Xenopus tropicalis: one gene and its partner. The protein of the gene in region 2 interacts with the protein of the main gene of each other region in a pairwise test. Links are inferred from orthologs where the notes say so. Each region holds a gene or a part of one and is shown on either strand. Other genes may lie near its edges.

What was found.
Region 1: the proteins of nipbl (region 2) and mau2 interact in binary tests that used the Homo sapiens proteins (3 or more experiments, as listed by UniProt). The link is inferred for Xenopus tropicalis from reciprocal best matches to the Homo sapiens genes NIPBL and MAU2.

What each region holds. Positions count from the first base shown.
Region 1 is NC_030677.2:113,777,996-113,786,471, reverse strand, and holds part of mau2 (MAU2 chromatid cohesion factor homolog), read left to right. Parts: intron 1-430; coding exon 431-577; intron 578-1,035; coding exon 1,036-1,138; intron 1,139-2,089; coding exon 2,090-2,193; intron 2,194-2,275; coding exon 2,276-2,353; intron 2,354-3,474; coding exon 3,475-3,540; intron 3,541-3,843; coding exon 3,844-3,927; intron 3,928-5,500; coding exon 5,501-5,550; intron 5,551-6,245; coding exon 6,246-6,323; intron 6,324-6,441; coding exon 6,442-6,553; intron 6,554-7,384; coding exon 7,385-7,475; intron 7,476-8,476. UniProt on the Homo sapiens protein: Plays an important role in the loading of the cohesin complex on to DNA. Forms a heterodimeric complex (also known as cohesin loading complex) with NIPBL/SCC2 which mediates the loading of the cohesin complex onto chromatin.
Region 2 is NC_030677.2:197,898,789-197,907,264, forward strand, and holds part of nipbl (nipped-B-like protein), read right to left. Parts: intron 8,460-8,476; coding exon 8,329-8,459; intron 8,243-8,328; coding exon 8,143-8,242; intron 7,109-8,142; coding exon 6,960-7,108; intron 6,518-6,959; coding exon 6,357-6,517; intron 5,785-6,356; coding exon 5,691-5,784; intron 4,542-5,690; coding exon 3,924-4,541; intron 1,408-3,923; coding exon 1-1,407. UniProt on the Homo sapiens protein: Plays an important role in the loading of the cohesin complex on to DNA. Forms a heterodimeric complex (also known as cohesin loading complex) with MAU2/SCC4 which mediates the loading of the cohesin complex onto chromatin.

The DNA of each region.
Region 1 (8,476 bases), about 84 Mb from region 2:
TGAGGGTTGACCTCAAATGTCCTTTAATGTAAACATACAATGATTTTTTTTAAATGGTTATGTATTACAGTAAAATAAAACAAGGTGAATATATAATACATATTCTGTTATGTATTCTGTTACATATTCTTGTCTCTTAAACATTCCTAGAAAATAGTTACCTTATTTCAGAGAACAAAATTGTACTTTAGACAGAGAGCAAACAGGGAATTCTTACAAGTATAAGTTTGTGTGATGTAGGTGGAAAATAGCTGATGAATGTCAAGTACATATGCCGTCAAGCAAAAATGTTTTTTTAGATCCTAGTTTTAAGAAGCAGCCCAAAAGAGTTATCTTTCATTTAATTTTTATATATGCAGAATGTCCTTTCTCTTTATATTGCTTCCCCAGTGAATATAAAGTGTTTATGATTTGGAACTTTGTCTTGCAGGTTAAAAGTGTAAAACCATGCCTTAAACAGTTGCAACAATGCATTCAAACTATTTCAACTCTGCACGATGATGAGATTTTACCCAGTAATCCAGCTGACTTGTTCCACTGGCTTCCCAAAGAGCACATGTGTGTTCTGGTTTATTTGGTAAGAATGGTCTAATTTTGTACCACCTGAAATGGAGCATCTCTTATTCAGGTATAATGTAATATTTACAGATTGTTTTGTTCATGGGTTTTTATGATTGAGGAAAACCTGGTAGCGGGTAACTAATAATTATTTCTGTTTAACTAAAATGATACAACTGCCTCCTAATGTAATATCTGTAAGCAGATGACTGTATAAATGCAGGAACCGGTATAATTCAACCATTGTTGTAAAATCTACCCTGCTGTATGCTCCCTATGAAAACTGTTCTTATTGTGGTTTTATTTTTCCCTTCTTGCATTTTTGTGCTTTATTATGTTTTGGATTTTTTTGGGGTTAATGAAACCTGTTAATACACATTTTAAATGCAACTTTATTGGTTCTTAATCATAGTGGTGGTGTTTTAGCAAATATTAATCATATAACTGTTGATGTATAAACTTGTATCTCTCTTGTATTCCCACCTACAGGTAACAGTCATGCATTCTATGCAGGCTGGATATTTAGAAAAGGCTCAGAAATATACAGACAAGGCTCTTATGCAGCTGGAGAAACTCAAAAGTAAGTTTTTTTACTTAACCTTTACCTTTCTGTGTTCTGTTAATGCATTCTGTCTTTAAAGGGAAAATATACCTCCTATTTTGGCATGAGCTTTTTCTGGTGGCTTTATGTAGAACCGGTACATATATGAACTTCCAGATACAAATATTAATGTGTATTATTTTTACATAGACCTTATTACACTCTCAGCATAACATATCCTGGGAAACAACTAATTGGAGTTATGGTGGTGTCTTTCAATTTGTGAAATCAAGTATGCTTTTGTAAAACAAGAATGCATTTATGTTTATATCTGAAAGTTCAGATGTGTGTTTTTTTTTCTAAATAGGCTCAACTAAATTGGTTTAGTTGGGGGGGTATATTTCCTCTTTTAAAGAATAAGTACCGGTAATCCTTTTTTTTTTTCATATCAGTAAAATTACTCTAAACAGCCTCCAGAATGTCCCAGCATTCTGTCTGACCTGGTTCCTCAGCTCGAAGTTAATCCTTTCCTTTGCTTCCTTGTGCAGAGTGAAGCCCCGTCCCTACTTCCTGTTCAGGTGTCGCATCAAAAAAAACAAAAACAAAAAAAAACCTGCTAATGCACAGACTGGCTCCTGCTGCCTCCAGGCATGCCCAGAAGGCTCTCCAGGTTGACTAGAGTAGTCGAATTGAAGAGAGAACTGAACAGGAAGTGGGGGCAGGCCTTCACTCTGCACAAGGAAGCAAAGGAAAGGATTAACTTCTAACTGAGGAACCAGGTCAGACTTTCATTCTTAAAATTAACAGTATTTAAGATGGACCTATTCTAAGCAGCTTTTTCTGTTGGTTTTAATGTTTAATTAGATGGGGTTTTTTGTTTTTTTTTAACTCCCATGCATTGGGGAATTTTGTAGTGAATTTTCAGCTATGTTGACACAATGCCCTGTGTACCATTGGAATACTAAATTAACCAATATTTTTTCTTCTCAGTGCTGGATAGCAGTCCTATCCTATCTTCTTTCCAAGTCATCCTTTTGGAACATATAATCATGTGTCGTCTTGTGACAGGACACAAAGCCACAGCTTTACAAGAGGTAGAGATGTTAAACTGGTAATAGAGAATTTTGCAGATGCCTGTGAAATCTTTTTCATTTTACATCTGTCTTTATTTCTCAGATATCCCAGGTATGCCAGCTCTGCCAGCAGTCTCCACGTCTGTTCTCTAACCATGCAGCTCAACTCCACACATTACTGGTAAGTAATAAATAGTTATGGAGCCACATCACTGGTTCTACTTTTTTTTTTCCAATGGAGAGTGCTTATGGTGTTTTAAATATTTAAAGTATGGTGCCTTCCCCATTCGATCTTGCACACCATAAGTGGCAGGCAATTATACTGACTATTTTGAAGAATATCTGGGAGGAAGCCACAGATTTGTGTAAAACTTCCTTATTATAACACAAGATAGATTAATCAACTTTAAAATTCTCTCTACTATTACTCAGCTGATAAATAACACAGGGTTTTTCCAAGTAAATCCTCTGCTTGTCCCCTCTGTTATCACCTCACTGCTGATTTTCTGTGGTTTGTGGGTATGCCCATTAATCGAGAAGTTCTGGTGAACAGTGGTTTAATGTCTTAGTGACAACCTAGCATTACCTCAAGTCATCTCTCCTTAAGTGTGCTAATTAGGGGGCCAATTCATTAAAACACGAGTTCGAAAAATTCGGATTGGATACGATAATTTCTGAAGATCGCAAATATCACGAAAATGCTTACGGAAAAAGCTTATTAGTCATGATAATATCGAATTGGCGATCCGAAAGTCACAAAATTTTCGTACCGAACAATTGTAAACAGTGACAGAACCTTCTAATCCTAATTTTTCATGCAAGCGTACGAAAAAGTTGCGCGGGTGTACGAAAAGTCGAGCAAGCGCGAAAAAAACGCTGAAAATACGCTCGGAGCGTTCGTGTCTTAATAAATCTCCCCCTTGGTGTGTAATAAGCGATCTAGTTTTTTATAAACATACCAGAATACTTTATCAAACTCTTATTTTATGCTAAAAAAGTGATTTGTAGCTCACTGGCTACAACCTAAGGCCCCTGCCTTCTTTACTGGCTAAACTTTAGTCAGTCTTATGCTTCCATTAATTACACTAACATATGAGGCATGTGGAGAGCTGGCTTGAGACTACCTAGCATTAAACCCCATCGAACCTGTGTACTTGAGCTGTATCAATAAGTGGCGATTTATCTACCTTAATATGTGTGCTAAACACTAATATACTGTAACATATGACAATATTTGTTTTGCCAGCTTTTAAATTAAAATGCTCCCACACTTTATTTTTTCTAATTGTATTTATGTCCTAGGGCTTATACTGTATCTCTGTAAATTGCATGGATAATGCAGAAGCACAGTTCACAACAGCACTAAGGGTAAGTATGTTTGCCCTAGGTTTTTACATTGTAATGATCCAAACTGACAGCCTCCTATAAAATCAAGACAAGCCCTTATAAGGATATTCCTGACAACCCTACAAAGCATGCAATGCAGTTCATATATTGCTATCAAACTTGTTTTCTTCTGTATTGCCATTAGCCTTTTCTTATATAGGGAGATATTCATGTGAAAAAATACTTAATTCTGCCTAATCTTAAAACCTTTACTACTGTTGTACTTGTACGCAGAATTTTTGTGCGGTTAACTTTATAAATTATTTTTGACATTGATCTCCCCAGCTCACAACGCACCAGGAGTTGTGGACGTTTATAGTGACAAATTTAGCAAGTGTTTACATCAGAGAGGGAAACAGGCACCAGGAGGTAAGCTGACTGATATATTTTTCTTAATTTTTAACACGCCAAGAAAAATCACTAACCAAAAGACACAATAGAGTCCATTCAAATCTGCCATTCTCTTGCATCCCCAGTTCATTTCCTATGTGCATGTACCAGTATGTATGTTTCAGTCATTACGCGTTGCTTCGGTTTTCCAAAGTCACCTGAAGTTTCCTTGCAAGGCAACTTCGGGCAACCGAAGCAATGCGTATACCATCCCACCGGCGATTTACATTCTTGCGGGTGGGTTGGCATGTCGGGGAGATTAGTTGCCCGCAATAGTGAAGATTTATCACGGGTGAGTAATCTCCCCGTGTGCTACTGCCCTAAGTGCTTTTTATTGGCCACATCAAAACAAACTTCACGTAAATAGAAAAAAAGGACAAAAGCATAATTAAGATAATTAAGTGATAAACATTTTTTTTATTGGGCCAGTAAGCCACATTGGGCCTGATTCACTAAAGTTTATTGCACGCTTTTTTGTGGAAAAAAAGACGCGATTCACTACAGCATTACCGCATGCGATAAGTCGCATTTTCGCATGCGGTATTTCTCGCGCTAGTTTTACCGCATACGTTCATTTCCGTGCTGAAAAGAATACGATCGCATGATTCACTATAACTTTTGCGCGCTAAATATCGCATTCGGCTATGCGAAAATTAACACCTACTACAGGCAGGCGAAAAATTATACAAAAGTACAGTAAATGATTTTTTGCAATAAAATATGGACTTACAGTGTTATTTATTCAAGTATGTGTTTCCCCTAGAGTGCCCGCACAACATTTTTGCTGTTTCGTGGATCTTTCGAAAGATTTGCTAATTTTCACTAAAGATAACCAGAACACATTTGCTCATCACTAGTGGCTACTATTTATAAGCATCTACTATTTATATGATACCATTTATATGCTACCATTTATATGTGGCTAATATTTATATACACCATTTATATGCGGCGACAATTTTTATACACTATTTCTAAGCTACCATTCATATGCGGTGACTATTCGCGGGCGTAATTTAGCACATGTACCAGCAAATACCGCATTGAAATAGTCTTCGCAAGTTAAATAACGCATGCAATATCGCGCGTAAAAAAGCGCGAGTATGCTTATAGTGAATCGTGCGAAAAATCGCCAAAATTAAGATGCGGTAAAAATTTTAACGCACGCTATAAATAGCGCACGTTAAATCGCACTTTAGTAAATCAGGCCCATTGTGCAGTGTTTCTGGGGGTTGATCTAGGTTATTTTCGTTTAGGAGAAAACTGCACCATCCAGAAGGAAAAAGTTGAGCTGCAGCTTCATCTTTCTTACATTTATTGCCACATAAAACCTTATTTTGGTATTAATTTGTGGTATTAATCCATGTACAGTATTTTATCAAATATTTATCAATGTGGGAAATTTTTCTATAAAGAAAACTTAAAATTGATGTAACAAATGGGTGTAGAGAGGGTGTTTTTTGTACTCATTTAGTAAGTTATAAATGCTAAACATAGTCAGTTACATGCCCAATAAAATAACACAATGTTCTCTTTTTTTCCCCCACCCAAGCTTTATAGTTTACTAGAAAGGATAAACCCAGACCATAATTTTCCAGTCAGGTAAGATGTTATTTTTATGGATATATATATATATATTTTATTTATTTATTTATATTAAACAGGCTGTTCACTGAGTGTGTGGGGTTTACATGTCCTTTAAAGGTGGTAAAGGAGAAAAAGCACAGGTTACCTAGCAGATAACAAATATGCTCTGTAGAATACAGAGGGCAGGATTCTACACAGGTTATCTGCTATGTAGCCTGTGCCATTTAGCCCTATTTTTACTTGAATGGCTGCCCTATTGGCTACACAGAAACTTCTTTATATAAACGATAATTGTATTAATTAAGCAAACACACAACTTTACAAGCACAGCACAACAGTACATTATATTTTAATTACTTATTAAACACTTGTTTTTTTGGTGTTGCTATGCCTTTGAAATGTTTTTTTTTTTTCTGGCAGTTCATTTGTTTCCTGATAGATGGAACAATAGTATATATGTTTGTGTACAAAACTAATTTTTTACAAACTATAGATCTCTCTAAATACCTTCTAACAAGGTAGTTTCCATAGACAACCAAGTAACCAGCTAAATTTGTAATAGGCATTTTAAGAATTCATCTTTTCTCCAAATGCATGAAGATGCGATGATATACATTAATGTAAGATATGTGCTACATATATTGATTTTCAGCTTAAATTACTAGATATTTATATAATATAGGTAGAATAATTTTCTCTTTCCATTCTAGTTCTCACTGCCTCCGTGCTGCGGCCTTCTACATCCGTGGGCTCTTTTCTTTTTTCCAAGGCAGATATAATGAAGCAAAGTAAGTGTTTTTTAATAAAAAAACAAAACATATATGTAATATATATATAGGTTTTTTTTTTTTTTTAACCTGTAGAAATAAGTGCTTATTTAAAGTGTCCCTTCTCTTTCTCTTGTAGGCGATTTCTGCGTGAAACCTTAAAAATGTCAAATGCTGAGGACCTAAACCGGCTGACTGCCTGCTCCTTGGTTCTTTTAGGCCACATCTTTTATGTACTCGGGAACCACAGAGTAGGTGTTACCTTTGCTGAATTAATTTTTTTCATTCATCACTAGGAAGACTATGCCTTTCTTTTCTGTGTTGGCTATACAGTAAACAGGGGAAAATAGCAACATCAGATAATTTAAAATGGAAACCATGAGAAGAGTACACTAATTTCTAGAACTAGTTTTTTGATTATTTAAATGGGAGAAGGGCATATTGGCCTTATAAACTAGCAGGCTGTGTGGGAGTATGGGAACACTTCTTTGAGATTTTGTATCAGGAAGAAATTTGCTACCTAAGGGGTATTTTAATTGATGGTTGTACTGTGACTGTATTGGCTTATTTGTAATGCTTTTGCTTGACTTGCAGCTTTTAAAGTTGTCTAATTTCTGATGTTTAGCAGTCAGTTTTTGATGATGAAATTTGAGTATTGGGAATGATGTTTTTTACTTGTTTAGCTTTTTAGTACTCCAGCTAGTAGACTCCCACATATGTATATGTGCCTCCTGCACTTGTGAGCCATAACTGATTCAAAGAAGTTTGTCAGCTGATAATGTAAATGCACATAAATACGAATATATAGATAAAAAGGAATCTGACAGTGCAGAATAATTTATACCAGTGTATTTCAATGAGCTTTTATTTAAAGAAAATATAGTTAATTTAAGACAGGGTTTAAATTTGCCCTTCTTATTTGCATGGTTTCTTGTACCCATGCAGAGAGAGGTTATAGTTTAGCTGAAGTAGAGAACTATTAACAGGGCAGCTTCACAGTTTTGATTAAATCCTAAGGGCCACAAGCTTTATTAATATGATAGTGGCAACTGTTGCATTAACATATCTATATCTTTTACCAGGAAAGTAACAATATGGTAGTCCCAGCCATGCAGTTGGCAAGCAAGATTCCAGACATGTCTGTACAACTCTGGTCTTCTGCTCTCTTGAGAGGTACGTTTTCTTAAGTTGTACTCTTAATTTGTTTGCTATAACCCAGTAATCCCCCAACCAGTGGCTCTTGAGCAACATGTTGCTCACCACACTCTTTGATGTTGCTGCCAGTGGCCTCAACGTAGGTGCCCAGTTATAAATTTCTGGCTTGGAGGCAAGTTTTGGAAGCATAGAGATACAGATTTACTCCAAACAAAGCCTCCTGCAGGCTAGCAGTCCACACTGGGCTATCACAATCCTTGTTTGGCATCCCCAAATAACTTTTTCCATGCAAACACAAGTAAAAAAAAAAAAAAAAAATAACCTTATGCTATACTGAAATATTAGAATGCTTTCAGAAATCAAAGATCTGTAGTCAAGGATGGTGGGAAGCTGTATATTATCTGACTTTATTAAAAAATACTGTACATGTCTGGTGGAGCAGCAACAGACGCATGGATTTTATACCAATTCTATTTACTTGCTGCAGGGACTTTACCGGCTAGGCTGTAAAACACCAGCTGGGTGGCAGGCGTAGGTACACATCAGACTTGTTTTAAAGGACAAGTCAACTCAGAATATACTTTACAACTTTGCTATATACATTCATCACAAATTTGTAATTTTTTTGTATTAATTTGTAATGGTTTTTGAGTTATTTGTATATATTATTGCTATTAAAACTGTTTGTCCTTTCTATTCACTGCCGTGGTGGCTCTGACTCTTGAAACAATGTAACACAAGCCAGCAGATTTTACAGACCTGACTTGCTGGAGGAGACTGACCTTTGCAACATTGTTTAAAAAGAAACAACCAGCTTCAGCAAATGCTGCTTTCAATAACATTTACAAATAACTTTAAAAGCACTGAATATTTTTAATAAATTCATATTTATTTTTTGCTTAGAATGATGTTTTCTTTTATTAGACAAAATCTTATTTTTGGGGTTGACATGTCCTTTGAGATATTGAATAGATGGTAACCAATATTTCTTCTGTTGTGATCTTATTTATTATTTTTTT
Region 2 (8,476 bases):
GTTTCTCAGACTCCCCCTTGTCATCCGGTTTCTGTTTTGGGTTCTCACGGTCCCGCTTTGACGATTCATGACTAGGTCTCCCATCTACTCTCTGTTTTGCTCCATCTGTACGGCTCTCAGGCTTAACTCTAGGAGAGTCACATTTTGAATCTGTTTTATGTTTGGATAAATCTGGCTTCTTTTCTGTGGAAAGTCTGTTGGGATCTTTTTTCATATCATGTTTATGTTTTGGGGCTTCAGGACGCCCATCACTTTTGTGCTCCTCACTTTTTTGTCGGCTAATTTCTTGCCGACCTTCACATTTCTGCCTTGATGTATCTTGCCGCCCTTCACTCTTTTGTTTAGGGGTGTCCGGCCTGCTATCACTCTTTTGTTTTGGAGTGTCTGGCCTGCTTTCACTCTTTTGCTTTGGCGTTTCTGGTCTGCTATCACTCTTTTGCTTAGGTGTTTCTGGCTTACCCTCATTCTTTTGTTTAGGTGTTTCAGGCTTATTTTCACTCTTTTGCTTGGGTGTTTCCGGATGCCCTTCAGTCTTTTGCTTAGGTGTGTCCGTTTTCCCCTCACTCTTTTGCCTGATTGTCTCTGATTTTCCCTCTGCTTTCTGTTTGGAGGTTTCTGATTTCACCTCCACTTTTTGCTTTACTGTCTCACTCTTCCCTTCAAGTTTTTGTCTAGGTGTCTCTGGCTGGCCATCATTTTGCTTTTGCTTGGGAGTATTAAGTTTTTGTCGCATTTCCAGCTTGTTGTCAACTTTACTAGATTTACTCTGGTTTTCATTTTCTTTAGAATCCTCTTGTAGGTCACCAGATTTTACATCATTTGCAGTCTCATTTAACAGTGCTTCAGTCTTTATATCTTCATTAAAACCTTCGCTGTTTTTGTACTCCATCATATTGTCGTCATAATCTATTTCACAACTTTCAGACTTGGTCTCCATAGGACAGTCACCAGAAAGCTTTGCTTCTTCGCTGCACTCAACAGGTTCAGATTTGATGTCACACAATTTAGTTTCATTGTAAGATTCTTCTAGGCCACTCTCAGTTGACAGCTTAGCAGTTGTGCTCTTGTTAGACTTATCGGGACATTCCACGTCTGACTCACTCTTTCTTAATGGCGTCGGATGATTCTCAGGATTATGCTTGAAAACAGTGTCCTCTTGAGGCCCAGAAATATAGCCATCGTTGCAGTTCTTTGTGTCATCTGCCTTTCTGGCAAAGTCCGAGTCCTGAGTTACAGTTGCCTGAGAGTCCCCTCGGCCGGCCTGCTGAAGATCAATACTAACCATAAGTGCTGGCCGTGACCCATTTCCAGCTGAACCGGTCTCCTGGGAAGCTGGTCTGTTACCTCCAGTAGCACCTCCAGCTTCTAATGGATAAGAATCCTGCTTCCGTTTCTTCAGGGGCTTATCTAGACAGTAAAACACAAATAGCTTAATATTAAAATTCATAGTAACTTTTAACTATACAGTTCTGAATTAAATAGTAACAAACGCTAGCAAAGAGTTTGCCCCACCTATGAACCTTGTGCAAAACTGGCTTAAGAAAATACTGTTTATTCTCCCATACAAATAATTTATTTAAAACAGACATGGGCATTTTTCAGTATATACTAGCATATTTGCAATGTGTATTTTTAAAGCAACAGCAGAAAAAAAAGAAAACATTGTTAAAGAAAGTGACAATTTTAGAGAAAACATTATACAACAGAAACTCAAACATATAAATAAATGTGAAAGTGAAAGCCGCTTGAGGCTGTAAGGATTTAAAAAGGACTAAGGCAAATCAGCCATAAGACACATTACAAGAGCTCTAGTTCTTTTCAGTTTCAGTGTATTAATTACACCAACTGTAGAATCATTCAGGAATCAAAAAATGTACTCCCAAGAGCTAGAATTTAACATGTCCTAATGTGAACTGTTACAAGTGTAGTGGCATGGATGCCACGGATTTACTAGAGAACTACCTGGGCAGCCTTGGTGACTTTTGAATATTTTGAATGTCACCGTTTGGAGTAATTTAACAGAGTTTCTCCATTGACTGAGTGTAAAGAAGCTTGCAAGCAAAATCATCTAAAAAGTAAAAATCATTTGAACAGCAGCAAAACTGAGAATAACATTGTTTTAATACAAATACAAATCCGGAAACCCGTTATCCAGAAAGTTGCGAATTACCGAATGGTTTCCTTTTCTCTAATAATAAAACAGTACCTGTACTTGATCCCAACTAAGATATTATTACCCCTTATTGGGGTCAGAACACTCCTATTGGGTTTATTTAATGGTTAAATGATTCCCTTTTCTCTGTAATAATAAAACAGTACCTGTACTTGATCCCAACTAAGATATAATTAATCCTTATTAAATGTAAATCAAACCTATTGGGTTTATTTAATGTTTTAATTATTTTTCCGTAGACTTTCGGTATGGAGATCCAAATTACGGGAAGGCGCCTTATCCGGTAAACCCCAGGTCCCGAGCATTCTGGATAACATGTACAATGTCAGAACTGGTCAATAGCATGAAAACTTTGCCTACATAATACTAGAAGTTTGAATGTGAGCTACCCATTTAATACAACAAACTATATAAAAAAAATGTAGCACAAAAACACATAATAAGCACCGAAAGGCTAATTAAAACTCTGAGACAGCACGAATTTAGGATTAATCTGAAGAATTAATCCACGCAAGCTCTACTCTCTAGTTCCAACCTAGCACAAAAATCAAAAGTGTATTTTTTTTTTTTAAAGTCAGTGACAACTATAAGGGTGAAGACACACGGAGCTAGGTAGTAGTGGCTACTTTTTTCACGGATACAAAGTTCCAGAAAATCCCCTGCCATAGACAACACTGAGAATTGCCTCTGCTAAAACACCCAGAGGCAATTATCAGTAAACGATCAGCATTGTCAATTTTAGTAGCCACGACAAGTAGCTGCTACTAGTAGCTCTGCGTCTCTAAGGGCTCTGGTACACGGGGAGATTAGTCGCCCGCGGCAAAACTCCCTGCTCGCGGGCGACTAATCTCCCCGAGTTGCCTTCCCCCTGCCATCCCACCGGCGAACATGTAAGTCGCCGGCGGGATGGCAGACGCGGCGGCGCGATTTCGCGCAAATCGCCGAAAAAGACTTGCGAGGCTTTTTCGGCGATTTCCCGAAATCGCCCCGCCGCGTCTGCCATCCCGCCGGCGACTTACATGTTCGCCGGTGGGATGGCAGGGGGAAGGCAACTCGGGGAGATTAGTCGCCCGCGAGCAGGGAGTTTTGCCGCGGGCGACTAATCTCCCCGTGTACCAGAGCCCTTAACCCTTAAAAACTGAACTGCATATACAGAACCCCACCCCCCCAACAAAAACAGTAAATTGTTATGAACCATAACAAAATCTCAGCTGGCAAATTTGGACAAACCAAGCTACATGGCAGTTTAGCCCACAAAATTTGAGACAAGGGAAACAACAACTATTTAAAAGACAAAGCTCTTATCTGCAGGAAACCTAAAGCTAAGGGCTAAACTCCAAAAGCGCTCCAAAAAAAGCCGCTCAGACTAGATGCAACAATATAGCGATTGCCGCGGATGCAGACACAGCATGCCGCATTCGCATCGGACAGTTGAGTTGGATGGAAAAAATAAACATGTAGTTTATGCATCCAATTTTATCAATCTCATTATATTTGAAGAAGGTGGCTATATGCAATTTGTCGCAAATTCTTTGTCAATCCAATACCATCCACGAAAAATGCTTATGAATATTAGCCCTAGTTGAATACCCAAGCACTATCCCCATTGAGCAAATTAAAACCACCTGTCACTGCAGATGCAAGTGGTTTTTGGCTCACAGAATTTGTACAATGAATGTTTTTGGCTTGAAAACAACCTCTACCAGAAGTATTAGTTGGCTTTGACTGTACTTAACAGGTGGAATATTACCTTTGTCCTGAACTTCTTTAGAAAAGCGTTCCCTCTCAATAGCAGATTCCCGCTCTATTCTCTCAATTTCAGCAAGAGCGTCCAGTTCCACTTCGTCATATGGCGTTATGCTTCCTGTTTGTTGGGGCTGTGATTGAGCCACAAGAGGTTGAGGCGGTTTTGCAGCTGCTGACATGTTGGGTTGTAAAACAGGCACTTGCTGCACCTGTAAGAATTCAGTTTGCTCCTGAAAACAAGCAGCAGCATTCAAAGGGCGACTTAAGTCCTGTGGAGTGACCGGTGTTTTTGAAGCATTCCCTGGGAACTGCACATTAAAAGTGCTATCTCCCTCTGACATGTTACTGTTTTCCATAGTGGAGAGCATATCTCCTTGCTGGTCCATTTCAGAAGATCTCACACGTGTTAGTCTTAAAGTGAGCTTGGTAGAGTCTTTAGAAGGAGAACTAATAATATCATACATTGCAGACTTCTCAGTCTGTTCCTTCTCATCTTTGCTTATCTTTAACTTTTTTGGTCGCCTCTGCTTTCGATCTGGGGAGTCCAAGAGAATGTCAGGAGGAGCATCCCTGGGAGAGGAATATGGAGGAGGCTGTGTCTGTAGTATTAATGGCCTTGATCCTGCATGAAAAAAAAGAGGAATAAAATTAAGAATGTTTTTCAAGGTTAATGTGTATAGCTCTAGATGTGTATCAGTCATAACAAACCTAACCTACCTGTCAATGGACCTAACCAGCATCATACCCTTCACATAAAGGCTTCTCTAAAATGCTATCTTTTTATATGTTATACTGTGGTTTCAGCCATTATTCTCTAATACTGCAGAGTGCTCAATATCTGTTCATTCTCTGCAGTTAAGTCAATGATTCTGATGAGTGGATCAACAGCATGGATGCCACGGATTTACTAGAGAACTACCTGGGCAGCCTTGGTGACTTTTGAATATTTTGAATGTCACCGTTTGGAGTAATTTAACAGAGTTTCTCCATTAACTGAGTGTAAAGAAGCTTGCAAGCAAAATCATCTAAAAAGTAAAAATCATTTGAACAGCAGCAAAACTGAGAATAACATTGTTTTAATGCAAATGAGATATGAGCTTTTTAATGTTTCAGAAACTATGACTACTTGATTCCCATAAATACAGATGCTGCTGCTGTTCAGTTGTTTTCAGATAGTACATCAAACACACACTTTTCTTCAGTTGCTTTCCATTTTTAATTAAAAATAACAAAATAAAAAACAAACAATACTTTAGCCCCCCCTCTGTAAACTGTTCTAATCCGACACATTAATTGATACATTTATCATCTGTGGCCCAGCTGAAAAGAATACTAAAGTTTCATAAATTTAAGTTGTTATAAAAGATACAACAGTTGCTAATGCTCTGCAGCTGCTGCTGAGAAATGTATCAACTGATCTAATAGAGTGTGACAGTTCAGTCTGCACCCGGATTATGCAACGGACACAAGAGGGAGAAACAAGTTTTAACTTTGTTTTCTACTGCTTAACTAAAATTAGTTGCAAAAAAAAAAACATTATTTCTGGTGAAAGTGTGTTTGGAAGGTAAGCAACCCCTTTAAAATGTCCAAATATTAGATTGAAATTATTTATTGGATTTATACCTTCAAACAAACGTGCATAACAAGCGAGTTATGCACATCTGTGCCACAGCATGGCTTCCTGTCCCAGGAGCTCACTCTGGGTGTGGGTAGCCTAGCGCTGTAGTGATAGGTGCCTTTTATTGACAGCTAAGACAAATCTCAACTTTACCTTTTGGCGTCCCTTCACTTCCAGCAGGAGAGCACACAGACTGCGGAGAGCGGAGAGAAAAGGAAGCAGCATTTCTTATTGAAGAATCACTGTCCTAAAAAATTTAAAAAGAAACACACTGTAAAATAACTGTTCATTGCAAAATAGCTATTCGGTTCATAAGTAATGGAGGAGTAAGTGATTTTGTTGCTTGTGTTCAAGAATTTTTAAAACTTCCTGAGCGGAACAAGAAAAAACGAACAAAGTGTTTGTGACTGAATTGGGTTTGTGTGTGAAATAGTGTAAAGATTAACAGTTTTAACAGTGTGAATATATTCCCTATTTTTAAAAGTGGGGTATGGCTTAGAGTATTTTTCTAAGCACTTTTCTTGGCAATTTTTACTTTCCTTCAGGATTATCTTAAATAGGTGGCATATATCATTATAATTCTCTTACATTAAGTGCTACCACAGGAGAGAGGACAAAAAAAGTTAAGTGCTAGAAATATGTATCCATTTAATGTTTAAATTCTAAACATTATGAAGCAGAACTCCACAACTTGGGAACATCTTAATTCCAAGAAACAAAACATCCTTGAAAACATTCATGACAGGGTTTTTGACATATACGTAGCCGAACGAAGTCAAATGCCAGGTATACACCATTAGTATACACATACAAACATACCTCACCACCCAGCCTGTGCACCATCTGGAGATAGTCCTCAGTAGCGCCATGCCTGGAATTATCTGCATGATGGTTTGCAGAGCTGCCTGACAGCTGCCCAGAAACTTTATTTTCATGTAGATTCCTAAGCCCCCCAGCAACTATAGGGCTTGAAACAGAAGCTATAAAGGCAGAAAAGAAAAAACAATTAGACTTGCTTTTGTAAAGAAGACAAAATTTGCAAAAATCTTTGGGCACCAACAAAGCAATGCAAGAGGAGGCATATCAGAGCTGCCAACAAGTTTTCATTTACCCCAATAGGGTCTTCGAAATGTAATAAATTCTGAACAAATCTAGTAACTACTCTCCTCTGTCGCAGCATATTGAAAATATAATAAAATTGTATGACTAATGACACTCTTGCATATGAAAGACAGATATGCCATGTCTGTGTACAGTTATAGTAAAAAAAAAAAAAAAAAAGTTTCCCAAAAACAGGCTGAAAGTATTTTGAAGAAGGCCAAGAGCAGCAGCAACATGCTGAGCAAGAAAAAGTTGTGTTACCCACATAAGTCTTTAACCCAAGATGGTCCAACACTTCTTTTACATAAAAATCTTCTTTACCTTGTTGCAATGGTTGATGTTGGTAACTTCCAGGGTGGGAATATGGCATGTATCCTGCTGGACTTTGGGGAGCATATGGACTCGGTACAGGGCTGCTCTGTTGGCCAATAAACCGGCTTGTGGAACTGGACTGGGGTGGCACAAAACGACTATAGGAGACACAAAGGGAAGAGTCAGAATACTATTTTTGACCATTCTTACAAACCAAAAATACCTATTTGAATGGGTCAGCAAACTTATAGTGCCATCTGCACTATACAAATATATAGTATAAAGTTTTTTTTAACTAAAATTATAATACAAGATTTACATACACTTACAAGTGGATGTAGAAGAGGAATCAAAATAATAGAAATAGGTGCCCTATTGAAGTGAGAGTTTTGCATTTCTCAGCAACAGGTTAATGCAAGAAAGGTGCCTTCAGCCACTAAGGATTTTAGTGTTCTTTCACCTGAATAGGACCACAATACATCTCCAACCCATTAAAGGAGAAGGAAAGGTCAAATCATTGGGGGGATGCCAAAATGTCAGGCACCCCCATAAATTGTATTCACTTACCTTATACCCTGGGCTGGTGTCCCCGTTAGCAAAAAAAAACACACCAGCCTGGTGTACATGCCGGTGAGCGATCCACTGCCATCGCTGGCCTGCATGTTCCCAAAGAAGATGTGCCCAGGGTATTAGGTAGGGGATCTTAATTATTGGTGGATGCCCAACATTTGGCATTTGACAGGCACCACTTTTACATTGTTCTAGTCAATAGGAATGAGGTGTGTATACACTGCCCTAACACCACCCTCTAAGCTATTTTTTTTAGCATTGTTTTTAATTCTAAATAAACACTCACACGTAGGGGTATATTTAACATGCTGTGTAAAAAGTGGAGTGAAGCATTAACGGTAATGTAGCCCAGGGCAACCAATCAGAAATTATATTTCAATAGTAGCAAAGCATCTGATTGGCTGCTATGAGCAACATCGCCGTTAATGTGTTACTCCACTTATTTCACAGCATGATAAATATACCCCTGATTGTTTAAAGTACAACAATCTCTGTAACCCATAGGACAGATAGAAAGTAAAAATGACTCAGCAGGACAGCATTTCTGTTTATGGTTATGTAAAAAAATTAGATTAAATTCAAATGAAAAAAAAAATAAATTTATAGAAGATTATAAACTTACCTGGAAGGACTATGAGAGATAGTGGTTTGTTGATAATTGGAAGATACAGGGCTGCCATGCATGGAATTCTGGGGAAGTTTATACTGAGGCATCATTAAGCCTTAAAACAGAAAAAAAGATAACTAAAATGCAGTTATTGTTTATAAAATAAAACCATTGATTACCCTATAAAGGGTATTTTCTTACCACTTTGAACTCCATATCTGTTCTGCAAACTTTTCTCCCTGAAAACATTGGGATTTCTAGCCAGAGTGGCTTGCAGCAGGACTGGTATATCTCCTTCGGGATCATCGCTCCCCAAGTTATCCTTCAGTTCTCTGTCGAGAACAAAACC